4 linked regions of the Elephas maximus indicus genome follow. The protein of the gene in region 1 interacts with the protein of each later gene in a biochemical or structural test. Links are inferred from orthologs where the notes say so. Each region holds a gene or a part of one and is shown in the gene's direction. Other genes may lie near its edges. The genes, in order: PRMT1, UBAP2L, FBL and HABP4.

What was found.
Region 2: of the proteins of PRMT1 (region 1) and UBAP2L, one has a biochemical effect on the other in vitro, tested with the Homo sapiens proteins (2 studies listed by BioGRID, with this or other methods). The link is inferred for Elephas maximus indicus from reciprocal best matches to the Homo sapiens genes PRMT1 and UBAP2L.
Region 3: of the proteins of PRMT1 (region 1) and FBL, one has a biochemical effect on the other in vitro, tested with the Homo sapiens proteins (2 studies listed by BioGRID). The link is inferred for Elephas maximus indicus from reciprocal best matches to the Homo sapiens genes PRMT1 and FBL.
Region 4: the proteins of PRMT1 (region 1) and HABP4 form a complex in vitro, tested with the Homo sapiens proteins (2 studies listed by BioGRID, with this or other methods). The link is inferred for Elephas maximus indicus from reciprocal best matches to the Homo sapiens genes PRMT1 and HABP4.

Annotation. Positions count from the first base shown.
Region 1 is NC_064829.1:100,126,589-100,134,213, forward strand, and holds the start of PRMT1 (protein arginine N-methyltransferase 1), read left to right. Parts: upstream 1-4,625; 5' UTR 4,626-4,695; coding exon 4,696-4,731; intron 4,732-6,936; coding exon 6,937-6,990; intron 6,991-7,234; exon of another isoform or gene 7,235-7,328; coding exon of another isoform or gene 7,329-7,346; intron 7,347-7,567; coding exon 7,568-7,625. UniProt on the Homo sapiens protein: Arginine methyltransferase that methylates (mono and asymmetric dimethylation) the guanidino nitrogens of arginyl residues present in proteins such as ESR1, histone H2, H3 and H4, FMR1, ILF3, HNRNPA1, HNRNPD, NFATC2IP, SUPT5H, TAF15, EWS, HABP4, SERBP1, RBM15, FOXO1, CHTOP, MAP3K5/ASK1, MICU1 and NPRL2.
Region 2 is NC_064821.1:191,992,781-192,000,340, forward strand, and holds the start of UBAP2L (ubiquitin-associated protein 2-like), read left to right. Parts: upstream 1-4,554; 5' UTR 4,555-4,625; exon of another isoform or gene 4,626-4,690; intron 4,691-7,560. Other genes in the region: C3H1orf43 (protein C1orf43 homolog), read right to left, coding at 9-126, 3,516-3,617, 4,000-4,065. UniProt on the Homo sapiens protein: Recruits the ubiquitination machinery to RNA polymerase II for polyubiquitination, removal and degradation, when the transcription-coupled nucleotide excision repair (TC-NER) machinery fails to resolve DNA damage.
Region 3 is NC_064829.1:111,675,900-111,683,335, forward strand, and holds the start of FBL (rRNA 2'-O-methyltransferase fibrillarin), read left to right. Parts: upstream 1-4,431; coding exon 4,432-4,503; intron 4,504-4,807; coding exon 4,808-4,967; intron 4,968-7,436.
Region 4 is NC_064827.1:108,222,145-108,229,524, forward strand, and holds the start of HABP4 (intracellular hyaluronan-binding protein 4), read left to right. Parts: upstream 1-4,376; 5' UTR 4,377-4,479; coding exon 4,480-4,828; intron 4,829-7,380. UniProt on the Homo sapiens protein: Ribosome-binding protein that promotes ribosome hibernation, a process during which ribosomes are stabilized in an inactive state and preserved from proteasomal degradation.

The DNA of each region.
Region 1 (7,625 bases):
CAGGAATCTGGAGCAGTTTAGCTCAGTGTCTTGCTCAGGGTCTCACAAAGCTTAAATCAAGGTGCTGGCCAGTGCTGTGATGGCAGATGTTGAATTTCTCCTAATTTGTTTTGTATTTCTGTACCTTATGTGGAGTCCAGGTGGTGCAGTGGTTAAGTGCTCAGCTGCTAACTGAAAGGTCAGCGGTTCAAACCCACCCACCAGTTGCTCTCAGGGAGGAAGATGTGGTAATCTGCTTCCGTAAAGATTTACAGCCTTGGAAACCCTGGAAGACAGTTCTATTCTGTCCTATAGGGTTACTGTGAGTTGAAATCAACTCGATGACAATGAGTCTGGTTTTGGCTTTATATAATGAACAAATTGTGTTTCACATTTTACTTTCCTAAAGATTCGTTTATTTTACTGAATTTAGAATTACATCTCAGTGGTACCATCGGAGGGCAATGATGTATTATTGCATAATATTAGATTCAGCTCCATAAAGATCTTTGTATTAATTGGGTAAAGTAACTGAGAACCCAGGTGTCATACTGGTTGGTAATGTACTTGTCTCACCACCTGTCAGTTTGTCATACTGTGGTGGCTTGTGTGTTGCTAGGATACTGGAAGCTATGCCACCACTATTTCTGATACCAGCAGGGTCACCTGTGGTAGACAGGTTTCAGTGGAGCTTCCAGGCTAAGACAGACTAAGAAGGCCTGGCGATCTATTCCAAAAATTGATGATGTTGTTGTTCCTGTTAGTTGCCATCGAGTTGGTTTCAACTCATAGTGACCTTATGTCCAAACGAATGAAACACTGCCTGGTCCTGCACCATCCTCATGATCATTGTTATGCTTCAGCCCATTGTTGCAGCTACTGTGTCAGTCCACCTGGTTGACAGTCTTCCTCTCTTTCACTGACCTTCTGCTTTACCAAGCATGGTATCCTTCTCTAGGGACTGGTCCCTCCTGATAAGACATCCAAAGTATGTGAGACAAAGTCTCACTCCCAAAATTAACCAGTGAAAACCCTGTGGATCATAACCGAACATTGTCCAACTCACTTTGGACCCCTTCACAGAATATTATCAAGAGGGAATAATTGCTGGAGGAGGACATCGTGTTTGGTGGAGGAGCGGGCCAGCAAGGGATAGAGAGACTTATCCTGAGATAAATTAGCACAATAGCCATGACAATGGACTCAAACACGCTGGCAATCATGAGAACCAGGGAAAGTTTCCTTCTGTTGTGCATAAGGTTGCCGTGAGTCAGAGTCACCTTGACAGAGGCTGTCTCTCTCTCTATGTATGTGATATATCAAACTTATCAAATTACATGTGATTAGGTGCTTATTATTTTATATGAATTACACCTTCAATAAAGTTGATTTTAAAAAACAGCAACAACTAAAAAATGAATTTCTGTTTTCAGACATCCTGTGATCAGAACACGGTCAGCCACTTGCTAGGAGTTTGACCTTGACCAAGTCACTTTACCTCACTCAGTTTCCTCTCTTGTAAAATGGAGGTGATGATAGTACCTACCTCAATGTACTGCTGGGAGGATTAAATGAATGAATTTATATAAAAGTTTTAGAAGAGTGGCATAACCCGTTGCTGTTCTGACTCATGGTGACCCCACGTGTTACAGAGTAGAACTGCTCCCTAGGGTTTTCTTGGCTGTAATCTTTACGGCCAGCCTTAGTAGCGCAGTGATTAAGAGCTTGGCTGCTAACTAAAAAAGGTAGACAGTTCGAATTCATCAGCTGCTCCTTGGAAACCCTAGGGAGCAGTTCTACTCTGTCCTATAGGGTCACTATGAGTCAGAATTGAATAGATGGCAATCTTTTTTTTTTTTTTTATTGTGCTTTAAGTGAAAGTTTACAAATCAAGTCAGTCGCTCATACAAAAAGGTATACACACCTTGCTATGTACTCCTAGCTGCTCTTCTCCTAATGAGACAGCACACTCCTCCTCTCCACCCTGTATTCCCCGTGTTCGTTCAGCCAGCGCCTGCCCGTCTCTTCCTTCACATCTCCCCTCCAGAAAGAAGTCATAGATGGCAATCTTTATGGTAATTTTTATGGAAGAGCCCTGGTGGTGCTATGGGTAAAACACTCAGCTGCTAACTGGAAAGGTCAGCGGTTCAAACCCACCAGCTGCTGTGCGGGAGAAAGACCTGGCAATTTGCTTCCATAAAGTCGGAATCCACCTGATAGCAACGGGTGGCCACCCTCCACCCAGGCTGTTGTGTTGTTAGGTGCCAATTCATAGCAACCCCATGTGACAGAGCAGACCTGCCCCATGGGGTTTCTAAGGCTGTAAATCTTTATGGAAGCAGATTGCCAGGTCTTTCTCCCGTGGAGTGGCTGGAGGGTTTGAACCACAGACCTTTCAGTTAGCAGTTGAGTGCCTTAACCATTGGGCCAACAGAGCTCCTTGAAGGGTGGCTAGTGCCTACTAATTAATGCCTGTTGGTAAGCTTGATCCATATTTGGCCAAACCTACAAAGTGGCAAATCTGTCTTGGAAAAAGTACAGCCAGAATGCTTCCTGGAAGCGAGGATGGCGAGACTTCGTCTCACGTACTTCGGAGGTGTTACCAGTAGGGACCAGTCCCTGGAGAAGGACATCATGCTTGGTAAAGTAGAGGGTCAGCAAAAAAGAGGAAGACCCTCAACAAGATGGACTAACACAGTGGCTTCAACAATAGGCTCAAGCATAACAATGATTGTGAGGATGGCCCAGGATTGGGGCAGTGTTTTGTTCTATTCTACATAGGCTATGAGTCGGAATCGAGTCGACAGCACTGGCTTTGGGGTACACAGGGTTACTATGAGTCAGAGCCAACTTGATGGCACCTAACAACAAATAACAACAAAGTGGTAAGGAGTTTGTCTTGAAGGATAAAGAAGTGTTAGCTTCTCCCCTGGAGAACAAAGTAAGGGGGTGTTCAATGGCACAAAAGTGGGAAAGGTGTGAGCTCAGGGAAGTAAAAATAAAAAAAAACCAAACCCAGTGATCGAGTCGATTCCGACTCATAGCGACCCTATAGGACAGAGTAGAACTGCCCCATAGAGTTTCCGAGGAGCGCCTGGCGGATTCCAACTGCCGACCTTTTGGTTAGCAGCCATAGCACTTAACCACTACACCACCAGGGTTTCCCTCAGGGACGTAGGAGGGGCTTATTAGGGCAGAAGTGATGGGGAGGGTGGTTGAGGCCAGGCAGATGATCGCGGCAGCTAACCACGCTGAGGGGGCTGGGACCTTGTCCTGGGGGTGCTTGGGAGCCAAGGGAAGTCTTTGAGTTGAGGAGGGGCGGGGTCAGCTCTGGGGACAAGAGGATGTGGGTTACTTGAATGGAAACTGTTGGCTGAGAGGTAGGGGAGGAGTCTGGGACGATGGTCCAGGAGGACGAGGACAGTACTGGCCGAGAGTCAGGGCAGGAGGGGCAGGGCTGGGGAATGACATACTTAGGGAACGAGGGGCTGACTGCCCTGGCTGGTGACTCGGTGGGAGGTGGAGCTGTCCTGATTTGGGCATCCGGGAAGAAGAGAGGCTGTGAGAGGACGTCCTCAGTGCGGGGGCGTCATGGTGGGTGTTAGGAGTGTCTGTAAGTGTGAAGTGATGTTGGAAACCTTACACACCTAAGAGTTCACCAGGGAGGAAGGAATGTCGGGGACCACAGCCTAGGTATAGACCCAGAGATACTAGAGCGAGCTCATCCCGGGACTGGAGAGAAGTTTGGATTGAGGAGAGTTAGTGGGATAGGTGACAGGAGAGGCGAATTCATCTTCATTCAACGACTAGTTTTTCTGCAGACCAAGGAAGGCTTCCACAGGAGGTAGTGTCTAAGCTGGGCTCTGATGGATGTATAGGAGTCGGTAAGACAAAGGCTGTTCCCGGCAGGGAGACGGGCTCGGATAAAAGCCAAGAGGCTTCAGATGGGTTGTTGTGTTTAAAATACTTAGAACCGTTAAGTAGACGGCTAGGAGTTAAATGCTTTGACGTCTGACTTGATTCGAGACCCCAGACAAACCTGCTCTCTTTCTAGGCCTCTTTCTGCTTCAGTTTTTTCCCCCAGGTAAATGGAAACAGTTTCCCTTTTTTCTCCTAGAGTCCCCTCCGGCAGGAAGAATACCCCCGAAAGGAAGATGAGTGACAGTTCCTTTGAGCCAATTGCTGGGACCCAAAGTCCGGCTTTCCTCCCCTCTCTGGGGCCAATTGCCGTGTTCTTCTTGAGGTTGGCGAGGGCTAGCTAAAGACCTCATGACGTCACCCTCTGGATAAACCAATGGCAGCGATAAGAGGCGGGCCGTTCTGGTGATGGATGGCTCTGTTTCAAGATGTCCGCTTAGCGCGGGGCCCGCCGGGAAGCTTAGAGGCGGTGCTGGGGGAAGGGGCGGGAACTTCTAGTTGACGTCGCCCAATCACCACTCCGTTTTCTTGCGATGGACGGGCCGTCTTCCCCATCCCGTTCGACCTGAGGGGGCGGGGTCCTGCACGCTAGACTGGGCGGGCCTCTAAGCTTTGCTCGATATCGCCTTTACCCAATTGTTAACCGGTATTTCCAGACGGGCCGCCCCCATTGCCAATGAAATCTCTTGGTGGAGTTGCGGTGGGCGGGCCGTGGACCCTCCGGTATAAGACGGTCCCGGGGGAAAGCGGAGAAAGGGGGGGTCTCGGCCGCCAGAGGAGGAGTAGCTGCGGGTGAAGATGGCGGCAGCCGAGGCCGCGAACTGCATCATGGAGGTGAGAGCTCGGAGCGCCGCCGGGGTCGGGAAGCGGTTTGGGGTCTGCGTTTTAAGGTCCTTCGTGGGGGAAGGGGCTCCGAGTCGGCGAATTGGGGCTGAAGGTACCCAGCCGCACTGAGACGGCGCCGCATGCCCCGGATCTGGGGATATCGTTTGAGGTGGGAGGTTCCCTAGCTTTCGGGGCCTTGCGGTAGCTGGCCGAACCAGGGGTCTCAACCCCCCACCCACGTGGAGGCGGGCTGGGGGCGCTTCCGGCCGAGCCCCCACGTGGCCACGACCGGGTGGTGGGGAGGGGGTGTGCCGTGCCCGGATGCCCGGCGGGCTCCACGTGCGGGACAAAGGCCCCGCCTCCAGCCGGGGGAGGGGCGCCGGGGGGCGGGGAGGAGGCTCCGACCCTGCGTCGAAGGCCCCGAACCCCTGTCCGCGGGAATCGGGACATACACCGGGGGGGTGGGACTCACCTGGGCCCACTGCGATGTAGTGGATCTCCTGTGAGGTTCAGTGCCTTCCGACCCTGTACAACCCCCTCCCCAGGTTCCGGGGCATCTTTTGGGGCACAGGTCCAGGTTTTGAGCCCTCTTGGGTTGGGATTGGAGGAAGGAGAAGAATCGGCCTCCTTCCAGCCCCAATTTCCTGCCCCTGAACTCTTCCCCTTGCCCAGGGCTTTAGGAGCTGGGGGATGGGGCATGCCCCTTTGACCTCTCTCTGGGTGGGGGGATGGAGGCCATCCTTCCAGATAAGGTGCCGTGCACCCCCTTGTGGCCATTTCTGGGTGTGTGGGAGGGACAGCTTTTTCACGGGGCGTGTCCCGAAGCCCACCTTTTCCTTGGATCCCTATCGGGCAAAAGGGGGCACATGAACGCTGGGAAGGCGATCTGACAGGGTATGAGCGCAAAGCTTTACCGCTTACTGGAACCCTTTCTCTTCCTGTGGCATTTCCCACGGACGACCCCCCTTTCTGAATCCCTGTGTGGGTGTCCTGAGTCTGGGTGCAGGGAAATGGTTTCCAGTGAGGCTTGGTTTTCGTGTACCCGTGTGGGGAGAGTAGTCCTGTGTTCCGCGGCCTCTTAGGCCAGGGTTGTCTGGTGGTGGTGGTGTCAGATGTATTGGGAAATGGGGCCTGGGTCGGAAATCTTCTCACCAGCTGCCCTTATGGGCATCCTTACCGGCCAGTGGCTCATGGCCTGTGACTTGGCCCTTCCTGGAACCTGGAGGGAGGGTGGTCACATCTGGAAGACGTGTTATCTGGTGGAACGTCTGTACCCCAGCCCCCTATCTTATAGCCTTTTCTGGAGTGTGGAGGGTCAGTTCCCAAGATGCATACCACTGGAGGACAGCTCCCAGAGGCCACTCCAATGCCCCCACCTCCCTTGGCTCGCTCCTGGACCCAGAGCTCTATAGGTGGAGCAAATAACCTTCCCCGGGGCTTGCCTCAGCTCGTGGCCCCACACCTGGGGGGCTTCGGGGCCTGGGATGGGTGTCTGAATGGGAAAGATGGGGGTCTGACTCTTGGAGCCACATCTTGGTCCATCTTCTTCCTAAGAGGCTCCAGAATCTGTCCGGGCTCCCCAAGACACTGCCTTCCTGGTCATAGAGAGGGGCTTGGTTCTAATTGGTTTTATTTTGTGCTCCTGCACCTGGGACAGGAGCCTAGGGGCTGGGTTACCAGCTCTGGTGGGGGTGTCTGCGTGCCACACCTCCTTTCTGGAACCCTCTCAGTTGAGAGACTGGTGTGCAGAGGTGGTGGTTGCCCAGTGGGCATACTCTGCCAGGCCCCCCAGCTATTCCTGGCACCCCAGGATGGGGATGTGTGTCAGGAAGTGTCACCTAATCTGGGGGGATTAAGAGGGAGGAGGACGACAGCTGGCAGTGCCCGTGTGCCCGGCGGGGGGCCAGGTTCTCTGGTGTGGGTGGGGGAGGTATGCGGTCAAGTGCCTGGCTGGAGGGGACAGTGTAGGGGCGGGCCACCATCTCTCCAGCCACAGCTGGGACAGGAGAACCCCCTTACCCGCCTCCCCCACTTCTCTGACCCCTTTTTGAAACAGCCCTGCCTCTTCACACTGTCACCACTCCCCACCAAGAAAAAGGAAAATTGCAGGGAACCCCCTCCCCAAGAGCCCTGGTTCTGAACCCCCGACCCTGGCCTGTCCCTCCCACAGCCACTCCCAGTAGCTAATCCTTTCTCCCTGTTACTCTCTCCTAGAATTTTGTAGCCACCTTGGCTAATGGGATGAGCCTCCAGCCGCCTCTTGAAGAAGTAAATATCCTTTTGTGAGACCCCTCCCCACTCTCACCTCACCTCCAACTCAATCTAGCTTGCCACCGACAGGCCCTTTCTGGCGGTCCAGCCTTTCCAGCAATCTAACCATGATCCCTCTTGCTGCAAACTAGTTTATCCCGTGCCCCCAAAAACACTTAGTACGGTCCCCTCCAGGTTTGTAGCCCCCCTCTGGCCTCCCCAACACCGTGGCTACTTCCTTAACTCCATTTCCAGTCCCCACTTGCCCCCCGGCCCTGTGTCTGCCCCAGCCCTGCCTTCCCCTCCCCTCCCCAGCTGTGGGCTGAGCTAGAGACGGGGGCAGAGAGACTGGAGAGATGGTAGGCGTGGCTGAGGTATCGGGGTGCCCTCCTGGATGGTGCTCTCGGGGGGCCTGGAAGAGGAAAATGGGGTTTGGGGTTCCTGGGGGAGGCGAAATGGCAGAGGGGGCTGTAGGGTTGCCGTGGTAAGCCTTTGGTGGAGTCTACATGCTCCAGGCAGAAGTAGGAACCTGGAGGTTTGAGAGGCTGCAGGGAGCCCCCAGATTTGACCCATGCTCCCATCCGCCCTCTCCCAGGTCTCCTGTGGCCAGGCAGAGAGCAGCGAGAAGCCCAACGCCGAGGACATGACGTCCA
Region 2 (7,560 bases), on another chromosome or scaffold:
CCACATACTTTGAGTTCCCTGGGTTTCCAGCTGCAGCAGTCTGGCATCATCATCTGCAAGGAGCTGGGGCTCATACTTGATATCCTGAACCCTGGATAGTCGAATATCAATCTCTTCTTTCAGATCCTGTTCAAGTGGAGAAAAGAATATACAATCAGTTTTCCTTGCACTCTGTTTCCCACCAATCTGGAAATGGAGCTGAGCAAGTGAACAACTACGACAACAGAAACAGAGAAAATTGTAGCTACTGAAACTATCAGATAAGATGCAAAAATTTAAGAAAGAATGGGATTGGGTTCTCTAATAAACTCTCGAAGCTCCGTATCTCTCATCTAGCTCCTTTAACCTGCCAAAACAACATTAACCTGCATCGACATTTCTCACTTTCAACTGGACTTAGAATCTTGCTTAGCTATTATAAAGAATTTCTTGAGTTGGGAAAAAATACATAACAACTGAAGTCACATACACTCTCAATCTATAAGAAGGGGCCCTGTATACAACCTATATAATAGCTTAAGGATTAACCCACCTGGTGTACCACAGGACTCTAAAGGCTCCTTTAAAAAACTAAAATACATCCTTAAAATATATAATTTATATTTGTAGTATAAAATTCAAAAAGCACTAAAGGTGCCATCCCTAACTTATTCAGAAGCAACTACCGTTACCGGTTTCATATCCACCTCTTTGTTACCCAAACAACTGCCAGTGTCTGGGGAAATTTCTTGTATTTAAGTTTCTTGCAACTTTTTTAAAACTTCCACCGTGAAATATATCATATACAAAAAAAATGCGTATTATGTGTACATTTTGAATAAGAACCATTAAAATGAACACCTGTACCAGTTTATGAAATGGAACATTACCAGTGACTTTGAAGCCCTTTGTGCTCATCCTTGCTTGGATGTCCCCCCCACCCCTAACCTACATTTGTTAACAGTTCTCTTTCTTCACTTTTTTTTCCACTTGTCACCCTAAATAAGTTGCTTAGCTCTACCTGGTTTTGAACTTTATATGGACAGACGAATACATAAATTTCTCTACAACTTTTAAATTTTTAAACGAACTTAAATCGAAGTTGAATTTACATACGATAAAATGCACCCATTTTAAGTGTACATCTGAGTTTTAACAAAGACACCTGTTTAACTACCATCCCAGTCAAGACATGCAACGTTTTCACTACCCCCAAATGTCCCCTCATACTCCTTTGCAGTCATCCTTCCCCTGTTGGCTCCAGGCAACACTAATGTGCTTTGTATGACTATACTTTTGCCTGTTGTAGAACTTCACATAAACGGATTTATATGGCACATATTCTTTTATGTCAGGTTTTCTTGCTTTGTTCACTCTGCATATTCTTGAGATTCACTCATGCTTGCACTCATTTTTAATTCAAAAATATTTTGGAGATTCATCTGTGTTGATCTGTATCTTCATCCCTACAAAATATTCCAGAACACAAATACATCTTTATCTACCTGAATGTGGACATTTGGATTGTTTTTAAAAAATTATTACAAACATTGTGCTATGAACAGTCTCATACCTGTCTACTGGTACATATAAGCAAAAATTAATTTCTGTATGGTAGAATTGCTAGATCATGGATTAGGTACATGTGCAATCTTACTCAATAAAATCCAATTATTTTCTAAAGTCGTTTTACTAATTTAAAGTTCCACTTCTTAGAATTTAGTTAAGAGTTTTTTAAAGAAAAATTAATCTTGATCTTATCTATAAAGAAATAAAAGTTTTGACTAACTCATGATATACGGTAAATCAATTCTGTGTCACTCTTATGAGAGGCAATTGGCATCTGATGAACTGAGGACACGTGGAACGAGCACTGTAGAGGTTTCAGGCCGTGACGTCCTCCTTGTGTCTTTCCAGGTGATATGTCAGTAAAGAACTACAGTGTGACGGAGTAATAGCAACTTAATAAAAGATTAACACTGGTCTAGGAGTTGGAAGAATCATATACTAGCCCTAGTTCTCCAACTAATCTGCTGTCCTTTCAACAATGAATTATTGAGTATTTAACCCTGGTGGCACAGTGGTTAAGTGCTATGGCTGCTAACCAAGAGGTCAGCAGTTCCAATCCACCAGAAGCTCCTTGGAAACTCCATGGGGCAGTTTCACCCAGTTCTACAGAGTCACTGTGAGTCGGAATCGACTCAACGGCAGTGGTTTTACTACGCGTAGGTCCTGACTTTACAGCAGTGAACAAAACTGGCGTGGTGCCTGCATTCTTGAAGCTTACAGCCTAGTGGACGAGGGAGGCATTAAACAGACAAACATAACAGAAATATTGTGAATGGTATAAGGAAAAAAAAACCAGGGTACTATAAGAAAATAAAAGGAGAGACCCACTTTAAGACATAAAAACTCCTCTGTTGAAGAAATAACATATAAGCTAAAATCTAAAGAATGAATGAAATGGCCAAATGTGGATCAGGGGAAAATCATTCTAGTCATAGCACATGCCTTTAAGCTGGGAAATTCCACCAGTGTAGCTAAACTGCAGTGATCATAGGCAACAGCCATACAAAAGCAGGTTGAAACGTAACGGATGCCTATACTAAGTGGAAGACTGAAGAAACAAGATAGAAACGGTAGAGCTCTGAATTAGAAATGTTAGGTTTTAGATGCCTATCAGACACCTACAACGGATTTAGTTTTTGGCTTTTAAGTAGAGTAGAGGGTCAGCAAAAGAGAGGAACACCCTTGACGAGATGGATTGACACAGCTGCTGCAATGATGGGCTCAAGTATAGCAATGATTGTGAGGATGGTGCAAGACCAGGCAGTGTTTTGTTCTGTTGCACATAGGGTTGCTGTGAATTGAAACTGACTTAACAGCACCTAACAATGACATCACACATATACGTAAGCATGACAAATAAGCACCTGGATATATAAGTACAGAATAGAGAAAAGAGATTTGAAATAGAAATAAAAATTTCACCATATCTGTAGATACTTGCAGTCAAGAAAAAGAATTCAATCACCTAAGAAGAGAGTGTAAACGAAGATAACAGGCCATTTGGCTATTCACATGCTGTATATTTTGGATAACTTGCTTCCCTTTTTGGGGTTTCAGTTTGTAGCATAAACAGCAGCATTAGATGATTTATGGGGCCCTTATAAATCTAAACTTCTGCAAAGGCAGACCTTTTTATCACTCTGAGGCTAATTCTAACCACCCTAACCCCATTCTAAAATGAAACCAAACAATAAAAACTGTGTAATTTAAGATGAATTGGAAAACACCTTACCACAAAGAATTGGGAACTTTAATGCAAGCCCTTCATTCTGCAGATGCCAAAACTAAGGTTCATGGGTACGCTAAGTGCTATACCCCAGCAGGAGCAGTAAGTCAGATCTCACAGGTGACAGTTATTGTTCCATCCAAGAAAAGCACGACGGTAACCGGACACCAAACAAGGAAATCTCATTCTTGCTCCTAAAAGATCTGGAGAACCAGCCCCATCGTATGCCTTAAGAACCTACCTTAGGGGCATTGTGTCCCACAGGGACATGAGGTCCCCTTCGAGATTTCATTGCAAAGCGCATGATTTGCCTCTTCACAAAAATAAAGAGCAGCACAAACACCTGCCCAAAAAAATATGAGAAAAAGAATCTTTCAAAGACAGTTTAAAAAAAAAGTCACGCCTTCAACTCCCCCGATTTGGGCTCTCAGAAGTGCTTTGAGGTAAAACCTGGGACAAATCAAGGCCGTCAAACATAGGGGTGGATTTGGGGACGCCTGTGGAGGGAAGCATGGGGACTGCCGCTCTGGAGTTTAGCGGGAGGGTTCTCAGCCAGGGGCGGGGCAATCCTAGTCGTGACTTAAGTCCCAGGTATTCTTGGGATAGGCGTCAAAGCCCAGAAAAAGTGCAGGTGAGTGGGTGGAGAATGAGGACAGGGAACCGCTCAAGAGGAGGGTCTCTACTGGGTCTGACGCGACAACAGGAATGGGGGGGGATTTCCTCACCAGGCTCCCGTAGGCCATCACCAGCACGACATTCACCCCGGACAGCCAGTTACTGCCGGACGCCATGGCCTCCCCACCCCGCACAGAGCTGCTCTGGTTTACCCCGTTGCCCTGCCTTGTCAGCCCGGGTTCCGCCGAGGCAACGGCACCTGGGTTTCCCGGAGCTCTCCGGCCATTTCCTTATGGGGGAAGACCAAGAAAGACCCGGCCCGAAAACATGGCGGCTGGGGGGGGGAGGGGAGCGACGCCTTCCCGCTTCCCCCCCCGGCACGTGACTCAGGTTGCAATGGCACCCGGGAGCGGCGACGGCCGAGACGCGGAACTACGCCAGTAAGAGGAAGCGGAGGCCGTCCGCGCATCACGTGGTGAAGGCGGGGCCGCCGTGGAGGAGGCGGGGAGGACGCGCGGAGCCGGAGCGAGGTGTCTCGTGGCGGGGCGGTGCGCGCACGCTTGCGTGCGCGTCCCTTTTCGCGTCACGTGCTGGGGGACGCAGGAAGGCAAGTGGGAGGGGGAAGGCGCGAGAGCGAGCGCGAGAGGGAAAAGGAGGGAGGGGGTGGGGAGGAGGGAATCTTATATCACGTGACAGGGGCGGCGCGGCCCGGGGTGTCAGTGTGGAGGAGACTGAGGTAAAGTTGGGAGCGCAGCGGCGTTGGCGGCGGCGGCGGCGGCAGTGGCAGCGCGGCGGGGCCGGGTATTGTCCGCGGCCCCTTTAAATCCGCGATCTCCTTTTACCCTCCCTCGTTTCTCCCCTATCCCCGCCAGATCCCCCTCCCTCGGTAGGCCCCCCCACGCCGTGTGTCCCCCCCGACTGTACACCCCGATTCCTGGTCGTGCGAGCCCTACCCCCCCCCCCCTCCCGAGTCGGCCGCTGGAGGTTTTGTTTATGGTTAGGTTCGCGGCCTAGTGGGCCGCGCCAGAGCCGGGGCCTCGATTTGGGAGCGTGGCCGGGGCGGGGCTTGGGCAGCCGAAGGGGGGGGCATGCGGCTAAAGCCTGATGGGGGGAGAGCGAGAAAGAGCGCGAGCGAGCGAGGCCTGGGCTCTCCCTGAGGTAGGGCTCTCTCTGTCCACGAATCGGTGCCTGTGGAGAAGACCGAGGGGCCTCATCTTCCGACCCTCTGCGGGCCTCCTCTGATCCGGATCCGGCTTGGTTTAGGGGCGGCGGGGGGGGAGGGAGGGCGATGGGGTGGAGCTGCCCCAAACTCCCCCATGTGGCCCTCAGTTTGGAGTGCGGGGGATTAATTTGTTCGGGGTGGGAGGTAGAGAGCCGATGGGCCCCGTGGGTTCCCGATGTGGCGCTGAGGGGGGTGAGCCTTCCATCTTCCACGCGTGGGCTTGCGTCCCCTCTTCGTTTCCACCCTCTTTGTCAGCTCGTCTTAATACCCTTCCATCTTTCTCACCGCCCCAGCTTTTGTAATATATTTTTACCGCTGTCTTTAGCTTCACGGCGCCCATACTGTAGTTTTGGGTACCCCAAACAATTATGATGTTATTTGGGAAGCTGGACATGGAGGCCTCCATAGGGTGTATTCTGCCTAAGGGACGTCACTAGAGCATTGGGGTATTTGTTCACTCTTCTCATAATGGGATAGGAATTCCAAATTTTTTCATACCCTTCACCTGGACAGTCCCTAAATTGTTTCGAAAACTGATGTCATGAACTGGAGACTGCCTCTTTTCCACCATTCTTGAAATGTAGCCACCTCCGGTGCAGGGTGTTGTGGAAAGAAGAACAGCACAGTAACAGGCTTTTTTTTGTTGTTGTTGTTACCGTTTTTGCTTTTTGATTTACTCTGATTTTTAGAGGTAGAAATCCCTTTTTTGTCTCCTTTTCCCACCCACCTTTCCACTCCCTATATCCTGCTTTGGGGATATCTGATGTGACTTGCTGGGAGGTGTTGAGGGTCGGTGACAATGAGCGTTACCAGAGAACTAAAACGTTTTGGCTCTGTATCGTTTGATAAAAGTGCTTTGAGATCCTACACCATTGTCCTTAAAGATTAGACTATCCCAGTGATTGTTTCCGTTGTGAACGGGAAATACTGCTGGCATGTAAATTCGTGCTGAAAGGCCCCAAAATGTACTGTTTTATTTTTGTTTTTTAAAGCTTCTCCTTGCTAAGTGTGTCCCAACTGGGGAGTACTTTTTTCTTACTAGATTTATGTTGATGGGGAAGGGGATGCAGGGGTCATTTAAACAAAACATCTCCAAAAAAGTTGCTTCTTAAAGGCACCAAGCCTTACCCTACTCCAGTCGAACTTCAGAGTTTCTGAATTGTTTCGCAAATAGATTGTAAGCTCCCTGAGGGCAGTAACCAAATCATACTGCTTTTGTATTTCTTGAAGTACTGGACACATAGTAGTTCTTCAATAAATATTTGTTATTTATTTTTTTCAGTAAAAATTTCTCTGGCTATTTTTTTAAGTAGCTGGTTTTCATAAATTAGTCAAGGACGCTTCTGTTGAAACCTGTATTTACTCTCACACTATACCCTGTTCTCCAATAATTCTCACCGTATTTCCCTTAAATATTTTTGTTCTGTATCAGAGAGTTTTAAACAAGATTCCTTGCCTCCACTGTGATAACTCTGGGTATATGACTGCTTGCTACTAAAAGGCAGCCAATTCTGTACCTCCAAGTGCCCATCCCAGATCACTTGCTTTTAATCTGATTTTCAGTGTTGTTACCACCTAGGTGGTAAAATTTTCTTAGTCACACATTTCAAAGCACTTTAAGAGAGAAATGGAATTTAATAGGAAGATTATCAGGAAGATTTTTATTTACTAGTCAATTATGTGGCTTTTGAGATGACTTTTTAACATATTTACATGTGATTGGGTACAGTATATGTTGCTGTCCCTGCAGTTTATATCTGCATTATAATGCATTCTCCAGAATTGAAATCACGTGGAGTAGAAAGCAGTCAATATTTGGGTTGAGTGGGAAATGGCTATTTCCATATTAGAAACTTATAGGACTAATTTTAAAGTATAACAGTTTTTCTCCAGTCTTAAAATTTTTCTCTTTTTGATTCGGATCCGGAAGTACTTAAACAACACTTTTTTTTTTTTTGGTAAATTAAGTGTTGAAACTTGGTTATAGCCTAGGAAAAGGGGTTAATGTGTAGCAATTAGTCTTGTACTAGCCTGAAATATTTACAGGCCTTTGTGTGCACATATATGTAGGGGGAAGAGTTAATGGTTAAAAATTAGCCCTGAAATTGTCTTAAAAATCTTTCTTGGTGATAGCGAATGTAGCACTCTTAGTTTTTAAGGACCATGTCAAAAACCAAAAAAAAAAAAAAAAACCTACACAGTCTATTGACTAAACTTGGTGAAGGATTTATCCATAGGAAAGTCAGCTTTCTCTGTGACGTCCAAGGTGAAATTCACTTTACTAACAGTTAATCTTTGAATATTTCTTTGGAAGCCTTCCCTCTCTCTCCTTCAAATCCAGCAGTGGCTTTTGGGCAATCTAGAATTGCCCTGTATAAAGTTTCATTTAGAAAAAAATTAACTATAGAGCGGAAAAGTATAAAATTGTCCTCTTTGGAAAGGAATAAAA
Region 3 (7,436 bases), about 12 Mb from region 1:
CACACAGTCGAATGCCTTTGCATAGTCAATAAAACACAGGTAAACATCCTTCTGGTATTCTCTGCTTTCAGCCAGGATCCATCTAACATCATCAGTGGTATCCCTGGTTCCACACCCTCTTCTGAAACCGGCCTGAATTTCTGGCAGTTCCCTGTCAATATACTGCTGCAGCCATTTTCGAATGATCTTTAGCAAAATTTTGGTTGCGTGATATATTATGATACTGTTCTATAATTTCCACATTCGGTCAGATCACCCTTCTTGGGAACAGGCGTAAATATGGATCTCTTCCAGTCAGTTGGCCAGGAAGCTGTCCTCCATATTTCTTGGCATAGACTAGTGATCACCTCCAGCGCTGGATCTGTTTGTTGAAACATCTCAGTTGATATTCCATCAATTCCTGGAGCCTTGTTTTTCACCAATGCCTTCAGAGCAGCTTGGGCTTCTTCTTTCTGTACCATTGGTTCCTGATCACGTGCCATCTCTTGAAATGGTTGAACATTGACTAATTCTTTTTCGTATAATGACTGTATACTCCTTTCATCTTCTTTTGATGCTTCCTGCGTCATTTAGTATTTTCCCATGGAATCCTTCACTATTGAAACTCGAGGCTTGAATTTTTTCTTCAGTTCTTTCAGCTTGAGAAACGCCAAGCGTGTCCTTCCCTTTTGGTTTTCCATCTCCAGCTCTATGCACATGTCATTATAATACTTTGTCTTCTCGAGAGGCCCTTTGAAATCTTGTTAAGTTCTTTTACTTCATCAATTCTTCCTTTTGCTTTAGACGTTCGAGAGCAAGTTTCAGAGTCTCCTCTGACATCCATCTTGGTCTTTCTTTCTTGTCTTTTCAATGACCTCTTGTTTACTTCATGGATGATGTCCGTGATGTTATTCCACAACTCGTCTGGTCTTCAGTCACCAGTGTTCAATGTGTCAAATCTATTCTTCAAATGGTCTCTAAATTCAGGTGGATATACTCAAGGTCATATTTTGGCTCTCGTGGACTTGCTCTGATTTTCTTCAGTTTCAGCTTCAACGTGCATATGAGCAATTGATGGTCTTTTCCAAAGTCGGCCCCTGGCCTTGTTCTAACTGATGATATTGAGCTTTTCCATTGTCTCTTTCCACAGATGTAGTCAATTTGAGTTCTACAAGATTAGGTTGTGTTTTAAGTCAACCTCTTTTGAGATATAAAACACAGAAGTGAGCAAAGAGACAGGGCGACCCCATACCACCAAGAAATAAGAGCCAGGAGATTAGCATGTCCTTTGGACCCAGGGTCCCGGTGCTGAGAAACTCCTGAACCGGGGAAGACTGGTGACAAGGACCTTCCGCCAGAGCCCATGGAGAGAGAGAAAGCCTTCCTCTGTAGCTGGAACCCTGACTTGGGATTTCAAGCCTCTTAGACTGTGAGAGAATAAATTTCTCTTTGTTAAAGCCATCCATTTGTGGTTTTTGTGTTATAGCAGCCCTAGATAACCAAGACGGCAACCTTATATGCAACACAGCGAAACAATGCCCAGTCCTGCACCACTAATAAAACCAAAACCAAACCAAGCCAAACCCGTTGCTGTCAAGTTGATTCTGACTCATAACGACCCTACAGGACAGAGTAAAGCTGCCCTATAGAGTTTCCAAGGAGCACCTGGTGGATGTGAACTGCCAACCTTTTGGTTAGTAGCCGTAGCACTTAACCATTAGACCAGCACGGTTACCGTGGCACTAATAAAGATGTCAATTATCCCCTATCCTATTGCTGTGCAACGAACTGCTTTTATATGGCCTCTTTCTCCATGGTTTTGTGATGCCTACAAAATGATTGTTGTTGTCAGGTGCCGTCCAGTCAGTCCCAACTCGTAGTAACCCAGTGCACAACAGAACAAAACACTGGGTGATCCTGCGCCATCCTCACAATTGTTGCTATGCTTGAGACCATTGTTGTAGCCACTGTGTCAATCCATCTTGTTGAAGGTCTTCCTCTTTTTCAGTGACCCTTTATTTTACCAAGCATGATATCCTTCTCCAGGGACTGATCCCTCTTGATAACATGTCCAAAGTATGTGAGACATAGTCTCGCCATCTTTGTTTCTAAGGAGCATTCAGGTTGTACTTCTTCCAAGATCGATTTGTTAGTTCTTTCAGCAGGCCATGGTATAAGCAATATTCTTCTCTAACACCACAATTCAAAGGCATCAATTCTTCTTTGGTTTTCCTTATTTATTGTCCAGCTTTCGCATGCATATGAGGTGATTGAAAGCACCATGGCTTGGGTCAGGTGCACTTTAGTCCTCAAGGTGATATCTTTAAAACGTTTTTTCAACACTTAAAGTGTAACCTGCTACTTTGCTAATAAAGCCCGTAAGTGTGAGTATGGTCTGTGAGTTCTGTGTGGCCATTGCAATGAATTACTGAAGCCAGCAGAGAAGTAGCGAGCGCCGTGGGAGGGACAGCTGGCGTCAGAATTGGTACAAATGTTGGTGGGTGGAGGCACGTCTGACCTCCACCTCACAGCCCTTGGCTGTTGATGCTGATAATGATTTACCTGCCTCCTTGTGAAGTCAGACGAGGAGATTTGATGCCCGGATGCCATTCTTACACCTATTAAGGTTTTTTTATTTAAAGAAATAGACAAGTTTACTCTAAAATTTATATGGAAAGGCACCAAAATCAAAAAACCTACTGCTGTCACGTCAATGCCAACTGACAGGAACCTGACGTGTTACAGAATAGACCTGCTTCATAGAGTAATCCTCATGGAAGTCACTCACCAGGCCTTTATTCCATGGCACCAATGAGTGGGTTTGAACCACCAACCTTTCAGTTAGTAGTCGAGTGCAAATCATTTGTGCCACCCAGGGACCTCGCATGGAAACCACAGGCCCTAGAATAACTAAAAATAATTTTTCTGAAGAAGAATAAAATGGGAGGAAGCACTGTACCTGATATGAAGGCCACAACAATCAAGGCAATGTGGTGTTGGCAGAGTGACAGACACATAGATCAACGGAACAGAATAGAGACTTCAGAAATAGATGGTACAGATATGCTCAACTGAGTTTTTGCAAAGGTGCAAGAGCGAGTCAATGGAGAAAAGACAGCCTTTTCAACAACTGGTTTTGGAGCAACTGAACAGACATAGGCAAAAAAAAAAAAAAAAATTAACCTTAAACCTCACACCTTATATAAAAATTAACTCAAAATGGATCTTAAGCTTAAACGTAAGATGTAAATACATAAAACTTTTAGGAAAAAACAGAGGAGAAAATCTTTAGAATGTAGGGCTAGGCACAGAGGTCTTACACTTGACACCAAAATTATAATCCATAAAAAGAAAATTTGATAAATAGGACCACATCAAAATTAAAAATTTTACTCTGTGAAAATCCATGTGAAGAGGCTGAGCAGACAAGCTACAGACTGGGAGAAAATGTTTACAAACCATATACCCAACAGAGGACTAGTATCTAGAATATATAAAGAACTCTCAAAACTCAACAGTAGAAAAGCAAAAACGATGGCATTATAAAATGAGAAAAAGACATGAAAAGACATTTAATGGAAGAAGATATACAGATGGCATATGAACACATGAGAAGTTGTTCAACATCATTAGCCATCAGGAAAAGTATAAATCAAAACTTCAATGAGGTATCATTACACATCTATCAAAATGGCTAAAATAAGAAATAGTACCACCACCAAATGCTGGCAAGAATGCTAAGAAATTGGATTGTTCATACATTGCTGGTGGGAATGTAAAATGGTACGGCCTCTCTGGAAAACAATTTGGCAGTAATTTATAAAATTAAAAATGCAATTATCATATGCCCCAGCAATTGCACTCTTGGGCATTTATTCCAGAGAAATGAAAACGTGTAGGCACAGAAAAACGTGTAGACGAACTGGATAGTAATTTTAGTGGTAATAGCCCCACACTGGAATTAATCTCCATGCCCTTCAACAGGTGAATTGTTAAAGTGCGGTACATCCATGCCTGGAACTCCTTCACCAAACAGGTGTGTCCCTCATTCCTCACCTCCTTTAGGTCCTTACTCAGAAGTCACAGATACATTTATTTCCTTGACCATCTTATAAAAATATTACTCCAACAGTCCGTATTTCCTCCAAGGCATTTATTGCCTGCTAACATTTGTGTTGTTAGCCAAGGCAGGCAGATTTATTGGTAGCTTTTGAAATTTTTGAGATTTGGTAGTGCAGTGCTTAAGAGCTTCGCAGCTAACTAAAAGGTTGATAGTTCGAATCCACCAGCCGCTCCTTGGAAACCCTAGGGGCGGTCCTACTCTGCCCTATAGGGTCGCTGAGTCGGAATCGACTAGACGGCAACAAGTTTGATTTTTGGTTAACATTCAACATGTTTTACTAACTTGTTTGATGTCTGTCCCCGCTCCTTCCACCGCTTCCCACCCCGAGGATGAGCTCCAGGAGGCCGGGGGTTCTGATGTTTTGTTCACTGTTGAATTTCCAGAGCCTGGAACCGTCCCAGGTACATACAAGGATCACAATTTTCAAATATACGAACGGGGGTCCGTGTTCTTGAGGGTGGAAATTGGGCAGGGAAGGCTTTTTGGGTGTCGAGGGGAACCTCAGAGAGTGAGCTAGGAATAGGGGCAGAGGCCACAGTCCATGCGAAGGTCTCCGTTTGAGTCCTGATTACGGAGATGCTCGCCGCGCAGATGGAGCAAGCTTGTTCAGGGAAGTAATCACAGGCAAAGGCTTGGAGAGCAAAGAGCGCGTCGTCGCCAGAAGCCTGGGGAATCCCCGCCCACCGCGCGCGCGCCGGGCCACAGGCGCCGCAGAGGCCCCGAGGGGCGGGGCAGCGTGGTTGCGTCACCACCGTGCGTCGCCGCGCGCCTGCGCTCCTTTCCACGTGCGAAAGCCAGAGACGCGTGGAGTCGGGGTCGCCGCAGACTTGGGAGCCGCGCAGTTCAGCGCTCACCATGAGGCCAGGTGCAGGCCGGGGTTGGGGTTGGGCTCGGGGACTGGGACTGGGCTGGAGTCGGGATGCCGGACCGGAATTGGGGGGCGGGGCCTTGGCGTGGGGGCAGGGGCTCTGAACCTGGGATCCGGTCTCGTGTGGGGCTGGGGTTCTGGTTTTGTGTGAGGCGGGAAGCCTGGTTCCTCCCTGGGATCAATCCTGAGCCCGGGGGGCGGGTTCCTGGTGTGGGGTTTGGGACTGGCTTCGGCGGTCGCGAGCTTGTGTCGAGGGTCTTGGGCCTGGGGTTGGGGGGTCCTGAACTGGGATTTGCCTTATTCGGACCGTCATTAGGCGTCCAGGATGTTGGACCGGGGGCGCCGCTTGGCTCAGTCTGGATGCAGACACCTGAGGTCTTGGCTCTCTCTGGGCGTGGTTTATGGGGATCCGTTTTGGGTCGGGGATGGGCAGTCTCAGATTTTGGGTCCGGGAGCTGGATGTGGGAGGCTCTCCGTTTGCCTTCTCTGTCTGCCCCCACCATCCCCTTGACCCCCCACCCGGCTTCTCGGAGAGCGCCGGGAGTGGATGAGGATCTCCGCTCGGCTTGATAGTCTGCAGCCCGCTCTGAGTCACTTTCCCGCTCTCTAGTCTTCCCGAGAGCCGGTGGCTGGGGATGGAGGGGAGATTGTGGGCCTGCTGATTCCCAACTCCGCGGTGAAGTGAAACTCCACAAGACCAAAACTGGTGGGAGGGGCGGGGAACAGGAGCTAGTCACAGAGAATGGTTTTATTCATTCGGTTTTCCCGAATTCTGATGAACCCATCACGGCTTCTCATGATGGAATGGTGGAAGTCTTGGCTTTGACAGCAGACAGGCCTCAATTCAAGGTTTCATCTCTGGCTCTGCTTATTAATCTCTTGGTGTAACCTTGGGCAAATGGCATTACTTTTTCGAGACTCGGTTTTCTCATTAATAAAATTACGCCCGGTCAGGATTAAGTGAGAGCCTGTAAAATTGAAACAACGCTTGGCATAATTGCTTAGTGTTGGTATCTTGGCTTTCATTGTTACCATTCTCAAGGAGAATAAAATTAGGGTCCTGTCTTAGCTATCTAGTGCTGCTATAACAGAAATACCACAAGTGGGTGGCTTTAATGAGCTCGGCTGCTAACCAAGAAGTCCACAGTTTGAATCCACCGGCTGCTCCTTGGAAACCCTATGGGGCAGTTCTGCTCCTCCTGTAGGGTGGCTATGAGTCGCAATTGACTCCATGGCAACAGGTTTTTTTTTTTTTTTTGGTTAGGAGGCTAGAAGTTCAAATTCAGGGTGCCAGCTCTAGGGGAAGGTTTTCTCTCTCTGTCGGCTGCGGTGAAGGTCCTTGTCTCTTTGAACTTCTGCTCCTGGGCAGTCTTCATGTGGCTTGGCATCTCTCATCCCCCATTTCTGCTTCTCTCCTGCTGAAGCTCTTTTATGTCTCAAAAGAGATTGACCCAAGACACACCCTACACTAATCCTGTCTCAACATAGCAAAGACATCTCATTCCCAGATGAGATTATAGCATTGGTAGAGAGGTTAGGATTTACAACACACAATTTGGGGGGACGCACTTAAATCCATAACAGGTCCTTATGCCTGCTGTCTCAGCTTCTGCCCCTCCCCTCAGGCCCATCCCCCTTCTCCTCCCCCCATGAGAGAACTTGCTTCACTGGGTTTGATCAATCTCCTACCCATGGCCAGAAGGGCCCTTTTTTTGTTCTTGTTGTTTTAAGCACAGGTTTTCCTTTTTGTTTCCTTTTTTTTTTTGGATGTCAAGGAGATGGTGTCATCTGGGAAGGGGGAAATTTGTGGATCCATGCTCCCCTCCCAAACTCCCTTTCTTAGTATTTGGGGATCTGATGGGGTGGATTGGGGGGTGGTGCTAGGCCAGGCATCTCAGTGAGATTCTGGCATGCCTGCAGGCATCCTGTCATCTGTAAATGGTGGATACACTTTCTACCCCAGCCCAGCCTCTTCCGCCTTGTATGGTAGGATGTGAGGCTGTAGAAGTTGTCAGGAGCCAGCTTGTTAGTAAGAGTGTAATCTGAGTGAGAGAGAAAGCCTTTGGTAAACTTTGAGCAGGGATGGGGTACAGTCTGATTAGTATTTCTTAAGGGATTGGCCTTGCTTCTGTGTGGAAGAGAGACTAGAAGGGAGCAAGAGTTGAAGCAGGCACACCAGTGGGAGGTTGCTACTGTAACCCTGAAGGAAGGACATGGTGGCGGCCTGAAGCAGTGTTAGCAGTGGACGTGGCCGAGCAGTGGGACTGATTGGGAATATATTTTCAAGGTAGAAACCCACAGATTGTATGGAGGGTATGAGAGGAGTCAAGGATAGCTAAGGGTTTGGGCCTGTGTAACTGGAAGGATGGAGTTGCTGTTTGCTGAACTGGGGAAGGCTGTGGGAGGAGAGCTGATTTGAAACCAGTGTATTTGTGGAAGGGCCCTCTACAAAAAAAAAACAAACTT
Region 4 (7,380 bases), on another chromosome or scaffold:
TTTATTATTTTTTTTAAGAATCACCTGGTGATCTTGTTAAACTGTAGATTCTCATTCGGTATATGGGGGGGGCGGGAATGCAAATCCTCAGCAGGGAGGGCTTTGAACTGGAACAAACTGGTTTATAGCCCTGTTTTGAACTCTCCCAGTGTTTTCTGTGAATTTAAAGCCAATCTGGAAGATTTTAGTGTTTTATTTTATTATTCCCAATGGAACTCATATGTTAAATAAACTCAAGGTAATTTCCATTTTGTATGCAGTTCAGCTTAACTATTTCCACTGGTGGTAATAAACAACTACAGTGGAAGGGCAGCCATGCCTCACTGCTCCTTTGGTATTATAATTACTAAAGATTGTTTTCATATATTAGAAAGAGCAGTCTAACCACGTTAAACACCGTGCTGCAAATAACTCATGCTAATGTGATGGAGCTGTATTTCAGGAATGCATTTAAGGGTACAATCTCCCAGCAGAAAGTGGTGAGTTAGAACAGGTGAGGCTGCTTAGTGAGTTACCACCAGTAAATTCTAAAGTAATCAACAGCTCCATAAGAAATCCTTGGCCAGCTAATACCCAAACCAAACCCATTGCTTTTGAGTTGATTCTAAATCACAGTGACCCTACAGGACAGGGTAGAACTGTCCCATAGTTTCCAAGGAACAGCTAATGGATTCGAACTACCAACCTTTTGGTTAGCAGCCTTAATGCTTAACCACTGCATCACCAGGGCTCCCTATTTCAGTGTTTTTTAAATCTGTTCTGGGAGCCCTGGTAGTGCAGTGATTAAAGTGCTGGGCTGCTAGTTGAAAGTTGGCAGTTGGAACCCACCAGCAGCTGTGTGGGAGAAAGATAAGGCAGTCTGCTTCTGTAAAGATTTATAGCCTTGGAAACCCTACGGGACAGTTCTACTCTATCCTATAGGGTCACTGTGAGTTGAAATTGACTTTAAGGCAGTGGGGTTTATAAAGGTGTTCTGAGAGGTCCCTGGGTGGCACAAATAGTTTTCACTCAACTATTACCCTAAAGGTTGGCGGTTTGAACCCACAGAGAAGGCCTGGAGACCTGGTTTCATAAACATTACAGCCAGCAAAACCCTGTGGAGCAGTTCTACTCTGACGCACATGGGATCGACATGAGTTTGAATCTATTCAAGGGGAACTGGTTAACCCTGAAGCAACCAGAACTGGCTCACTTGGAACTGTCTTAGGAGGTTGTGATTTAGAAATTAGGACGGAGTGCCTAATTTAAGTGCATGCTTTAAGAAATTGCTAGGGTTGACTATGCTGGAGAGAAAATAGGAGGAAAGCAGGGGAATGGCCTAACTCTGGATGTCCAGTAGGAAGATGACAGGCCCTTGTCCCTAAGTAGCGATGGTTCCTTGGTGCTGTGTCTTAAAGATGCCAGAGACCACCAGTGGCAGCAGAACGTGGAACTTGTTAGAAATGCAGATTCTCGGACCCTGCCCCAGAGCTACTGACTGACTCAGAAACTCTGAAGGGTGCTCAGCAAGCTTTGTGTTTTACTCACCGTCCAGGTGATTCCGATGAAGAATCTTTGTAAGTGTCATTCGCCTTATGATGACAAGGAACCATTATGGCTCTACTTGGTCTTAAGCCTGATTCAAAATGATGATAATGTTAATAATAATGATGGCAACTACTAATCCGCTTTCTGTCTCTACAGGTTTGCCTATTCTGAACATTTCATATAAATGGGCTCCTATAATATGCAGCCTTTGTGTCTTTTTTTTTCCACTTAGCATGTTTTCAATGTTGATCCATATTATTTCACGTATCAGTACTTCATTCCTTTTTATGGCCAAATAATATTCCAACACATGACTATATACCATTTGGCTGATCCACTCATCTGTTGATGGACATTTGAGCTGTTTCCATCTCATGGTTATTGTGAATAGTGATGCTTTGAACATTTGTGTACAAGTTTTTGTTTGAACACCTGTTTTTGATTGTTTAGGGTAAAAAGTAATCTGTGCTGACTCAAAGAAGTAGAGAACCAAATATCTTAAAATCATCACATTCAACAAATATTTTTGAGAACCTACTATGACAGCTTAGAATGCTAAGTACTGGGAATACAAATTGCAATGTATCAGGCATCATCCCTTCCCTCATTTGGAATGGCATAAAATTGAATGAGTAAAACACAGACCTGGCAGCAGTTGGGACAAGGGTTCCTCTGCTGCTTGCTATGAAAAGAAAGTGAAAGCTGGTTATGAAGCACCTGAGCAAGGTCTTCTAACAGGATACTTTTAGATGCAAGAAACACAACTAAGAGTAGCTTAAGCAATGATGGCATTTATCATCTTACATAATAAGTCCAAGGTAAGAACATTCCCAGGGAGTCCCTGGTGGTGCAAATGGTTAACATGCTTCGCTGCTAACCAAAAGGTTGGCGTCCACCCAGAGGTGCCGTGGAAGAAAGGCCTGGTGATCTACTTCCAAAATATCAGCCATTGAAAACCTTACGGCGCACAGTTATGCTGTGACACGTGAGTCAGAGTTGACTCAGTGACAGCTGGTCTTAGGGAGGTTCCCTCTTGGCTAAGTCAGCAGCTCAACAACATCAAGGGTGTAGGTTTTTTCTGTCATTCTGCTGGGCCATCTTCAGGGTATCAGCCAATTCCCTCATGCTCTAATAAGGGACAGCAACTCTAGGTATAATGTTCTCACATAACAAGGACCAAAGAACAGAAGTGTGGAAGAGGGCAGATCCCTTCACCCAGTCCCTTCTTAGAAGCAAGAAAAGCTCTCTCAGAGTTCCCCTTGATGTACTACTTCTGAGGACTGTTCTACCACATTTCACATAATGAGCCTGGCAAGGGAATGGAATTACAATGTGTGATTTAAGATGAATCACGTTTGAGACTGGAAGGGGGCCCAACTTCCCCCAATACCTGAACAAAATACCAGTTCTGTAAAAATGTAAGCAGAAGAGGAATGGCTGCAGGACAGGCAGCCAAGATTGTCTCCACAGGAGCCCTGGCAAGATTTCCTGGAGGGAATCCAGTCAAGTGTTCTCCTCTGTGCACCAGGCCTCAACTGAATATCTCAAAAACAAAACAAAACTCAAACCTCAACGTGTCGAAGACTGAACTCATGATTCTCATCAAAGTGGTCTCTTCCAGTGCTCTCTTTCTTTACAAATAGCACCGCCCTTCCAGCTGCCCACTCCAGAGAAATGAGTCACTGTACCCTCCCTCCTGGTTCATCCCCCTTATCTAGGACATCACCAAGTTCTGTTGATTTACCTCCAAAATAACACTTCATTCTCTTCTAGTCACACTCTTCCTCTCCCCCCACCACACTGCCACCAGCCTGGTCCTTGTCACTATCGTCAGCTTTCCTGGACTTGTGTAATAATCTCTGCTTGGTCTCCCACACGTGTTCTGACCTCCCCACAACCTATTCCTTTACAATGCAGTTGGAGTGGCCTTTACAAATAAAACTCTGACCATGCTTAAAACTTGCTTCCCACTGCTGCTAGAATAAAGACCAAAACAAGGTCCCTGCTGACCTCTCTCCCACTCTACATTCCAATTACACAGGCTTTCCGCGAGCTTGAATGTACACTGCTCCATCCCACGCCAAAACTTTGCTCCTCGCCATCTTTCAGACCTCAGCTTAACCGTCACTTCCTAGAGAAAGCCTTGCCCCCCAAACCAAAAAGCAAACCCATTTCCGTCTGGTCAATTCCGATTCATAGCGACCCTAGAAGACAGAGCAGAACTGCCCCCATAGGATTTCCAAGGAGCGGCTGGTGGATTCAAACAGCTGAATTTTTGGTTAGCAGCCAAGTTCTTTACCCACTGCGCCATCAGGGCTCCTTCTTCGCTATAGACGCCTGGAGAACTTGGAGCCTTCCCTTCGGGACACTTTTCCCAGTTTGTAGGCTCTAAGTTCCTCGAAGACGCGGACCTGGGATCTCTGACAACATAGTGCCTGGCACATAGTAAGTGCTCAAGAAGTAGCAGTTGAATGGCTAGATAAATTTATATAATCTTCGAAGAAGACAGACTGAGAACGAATATGGACCGAGTTTCAAAGAGAACAGACGTGACAGCTGGAACCAAACCGCCTCTCCAGGCGCCCTGGACCACAAGTCTCCCTTTCTCCCCCCATAGCCCCGCCCCCTGGACCCCGCCTTCCCTAGATGAGGCGGAGGGGCGGGGCATAGAGGTCGCATGACGAGACAGCAGCTTGTCAGTGATTGGGCTACCAGGCGCGCCGGCTAGGAAAGGGGGCGTGTCCGCGCGCGCTGATTGGCCCCCCGGCGGCGGCTGGGCGGGCTGCGGCGGCGGCGGCGGCGCGGGGGTGGGCGCCGGGCGGGGAGGGGACCGGGCAGGGCAGGGAGGGCGGCGGCGGCGGCGGCAGCTGGTGGGATGGGTCCTCGCCGCCGGCTTCGCTGAGACTCGCTCGCGTGGGCTGCCCGCGGCGGGCCCGCAGTGGCCGCGGCGGCATGAAGGGCGCCCTGGGGAGCCCCGTGGCCGCCGCCGGCGCAGCGATGCAGGAGAGTTTCGGCTGCGTCGTGGCCAACCGCTTCCACCAGCTGCTGGACGACGAGTCGGACCCGTTCGACATCCTGCGCGAGGCCGAGCGCCGGCGCCAGCAGCAGCTGCAGCGCAAGAGGCGCGACGAGGCGGCGGCAGCCGGGGTCGGCAACCGCGGCGGCAGGAGCCCCGCCGGGGCCTCGGGTCACAGAACCGGCGCGGGCAGCGGCCGGAGGGAGTCCCAGAAGGAGCGCAAGAGCCTCCCGGCCCCTGGCGCGCAGCAGCCGGACAGCCCCGGGGGTGGCCAGCAGCTGCCGGGTACGCACGTCCCACCGGCACCTGGGCGCCCCCGGGTGGGCGCGGCGGGCGGGAGAAGAAGGAGAATGGGGTCACTGAGGTCACCCTCTTCAACTTTCCTCGACCCCCACTGTGAGGCTGGGGTCCCAAAAACTATGTTCCAGAAAGGGAAGGGGACTCTGGGGAATGTTGGGGTGAGCTAAGGGTCTTTGTGGCAGTGGAAAGTAGGAAAGAGGACCAGAATGTGGGGCGGGAGGTTCCCACCGCTTCTGGCCTTTCCCAGCCCCTTCTGTGGGGGAGGGGGGAGATAGGGGGGTCTCGAAACCCCGGAAGTGAGCCCTTAGATCAAGTTGGATAAAGTTGAGGAATATTGCTGGGGCGTGTGAGGGCTGCTACCCCGGGGGTCTCACATCAGAGCCAGCAAGGAGCCCAGCCTCTGCAAGATTGTGCTTTGGAGGCAGAAAGAGAAGCGTAATGGGAAGGAGAGAGGGGAGTCCCTCTTAGATGAGGGTGGCGGGGAGAGAGCACCCAGCCCGCTGGAGGTGGTGGTGAGAGACTGGGATGTGTGGAAAATGGTAGGGAGGCCGGAGTGAGGGGCTGCCTGGCCTCGGTGATGGAGTGAAGGCCTGGTGACCGCGTGGGGCCCGGCTGTGACGTCAGGGCCGCGAACGAGCGAGCGTGCTGGTGAGGTGGCCGCGGGATCCCCGGCTCCTTGCAAGCTCTCTTCATTTAACGCATCCCCATACACAAGCTTCTAGTAGTCTGCAGGCATCGGTTTTTAGTGCATCTGGTACTGTTGTTGATGGGATGTGTAACTTGTAATTAACTCAAGGCTGCTTTAAGAAAATCCTTTTTAACCTTTTCAACGATATTCAAGGCTCCCTCCTCCCTGTTTAGCAAGAAGGGCCAGTGCAAACCTTGTGCACTACTGTGTGTGTACAGGGAGTGTACTTCTGAGGTCATTTCTCTCCCTGCAGCTGACAACAGTGGCATAATCAGCAAGATGCCACCTGTGTTTCCTCTGTTTTCCTGAAATAAGGCAATGGTCAGTTCCAAGGTTTGCAGAAAAATGCTGTTAAGATTGAGATGTGTAGTTTGACCTCTCCACCCATCACATGGCAGTGTATTCAACTGGGTTTATTGACTTGTTCCACTTGATAAAAACTAGCTACCCTGAAAGAGCACCTGCTGGTTCAAATATTGGGGCTTTGACTTGTGGACGTAGGTAATGATTTACCTTCTTTATCTGTGTCCAGTTCGTAGTCGTCATTTGAGAATCAGAAAATTAAGTCAATACAATAAAGGTGTTAGAAGTTAACAAAAATGCTGTTGGGTCACAAGGCCTCCTGATAGGCCAGGAAGTTCATGGGCTTATTTATAGACAGCAAGACTTGAGCTATAGTTTATGTTTTGTTTTATGTTCTCTGTTTTCTTTTACATTTACTTAGGGGTAAATATAGTAATAAATTAAACACTTAGGAAGGCTAATCTTTTCTGCTCCCTGTTTCTAACAGTGGTGTGGAACTGCATTTAGTGATATCTACTGATGTATTTTTTCTTAGGCCTCTTACAAATGAAACATCATCTTATAAAAAAAAGTAAACAGCTCAGAAATGTATAAAGTGAAAAGCCCCTATTTTCCCTCCTGTTAACAACTTGTATCTATAGTTGCACAGAACTTTTTTTCCTTAACTTATATAAACAGTTGCAAATGGCTACCTTCACTTGACATTGTAGCCTATTACAATCTGTAGTTGATTTTGTAGTTAGAATGAAAATCTTATCATTCTAGTTCTTTTTCAGTGTATATTATTGGAGGAGCAAACAGCTAATTAATTCCTGTGTATGTAGTTACTGGACTAAATTTGTCTGTAATGGTGTTAGCTACTCTCTCAAAGCTTTGTAGCCCTAACTGACATAAAGTACTATATTTTTCTAATTCAGAATTTTTAATTTAGTTAGAATATTATAGGTGAATGCTTAGTGTGGACAAAAATCAAAGTTTAAACGTGTTCAGCCATGTTTAGGAACATTTATTAATCCCCAAAGGATGTAGAAATCGTAAGATTCTCCCATGGAAACTTAGGTTTTTAATATCCTTGACTAGCCATCTAGCAATGCACCCAGGCCCTGTGTTCTGAACCTTGCTAAATTGATTCATTCTTCAAGTCTCCAGAGGCTGCGTCAGCTCTGCTTTCCTAGCCTTTCAGAACTGTGGTCTTTGAGCCAAATCTCAGTTTTTATTTTGCAGGAACCTCACTGTAAATTTCATTGTTTTTGGTCCCTTCACATGGGCTTGGGCTGAGGTCTGAGATGGCACTGGTCGTGCCAACTGCTTACTGGGAAGGGCCAGTGATGTGCAGTGTTTGCGGTATCCACTTGGAGCCGCTGATCCAGCAAAAGAAAACAAGCCAGCTTCAGCCGCAGTCTTGAGCTCTTAATACTAAATTGTGAGGGGGAAGAAAAGTGGACCCCTGTTTTCCTTTGTTTCTTGTATTTTGGAGAGAGAATGAAATGTTTTCAGGGAGTTGGCAATATAATGATCCTAATAAGTAAAAAAAAAAAAAAAAAAA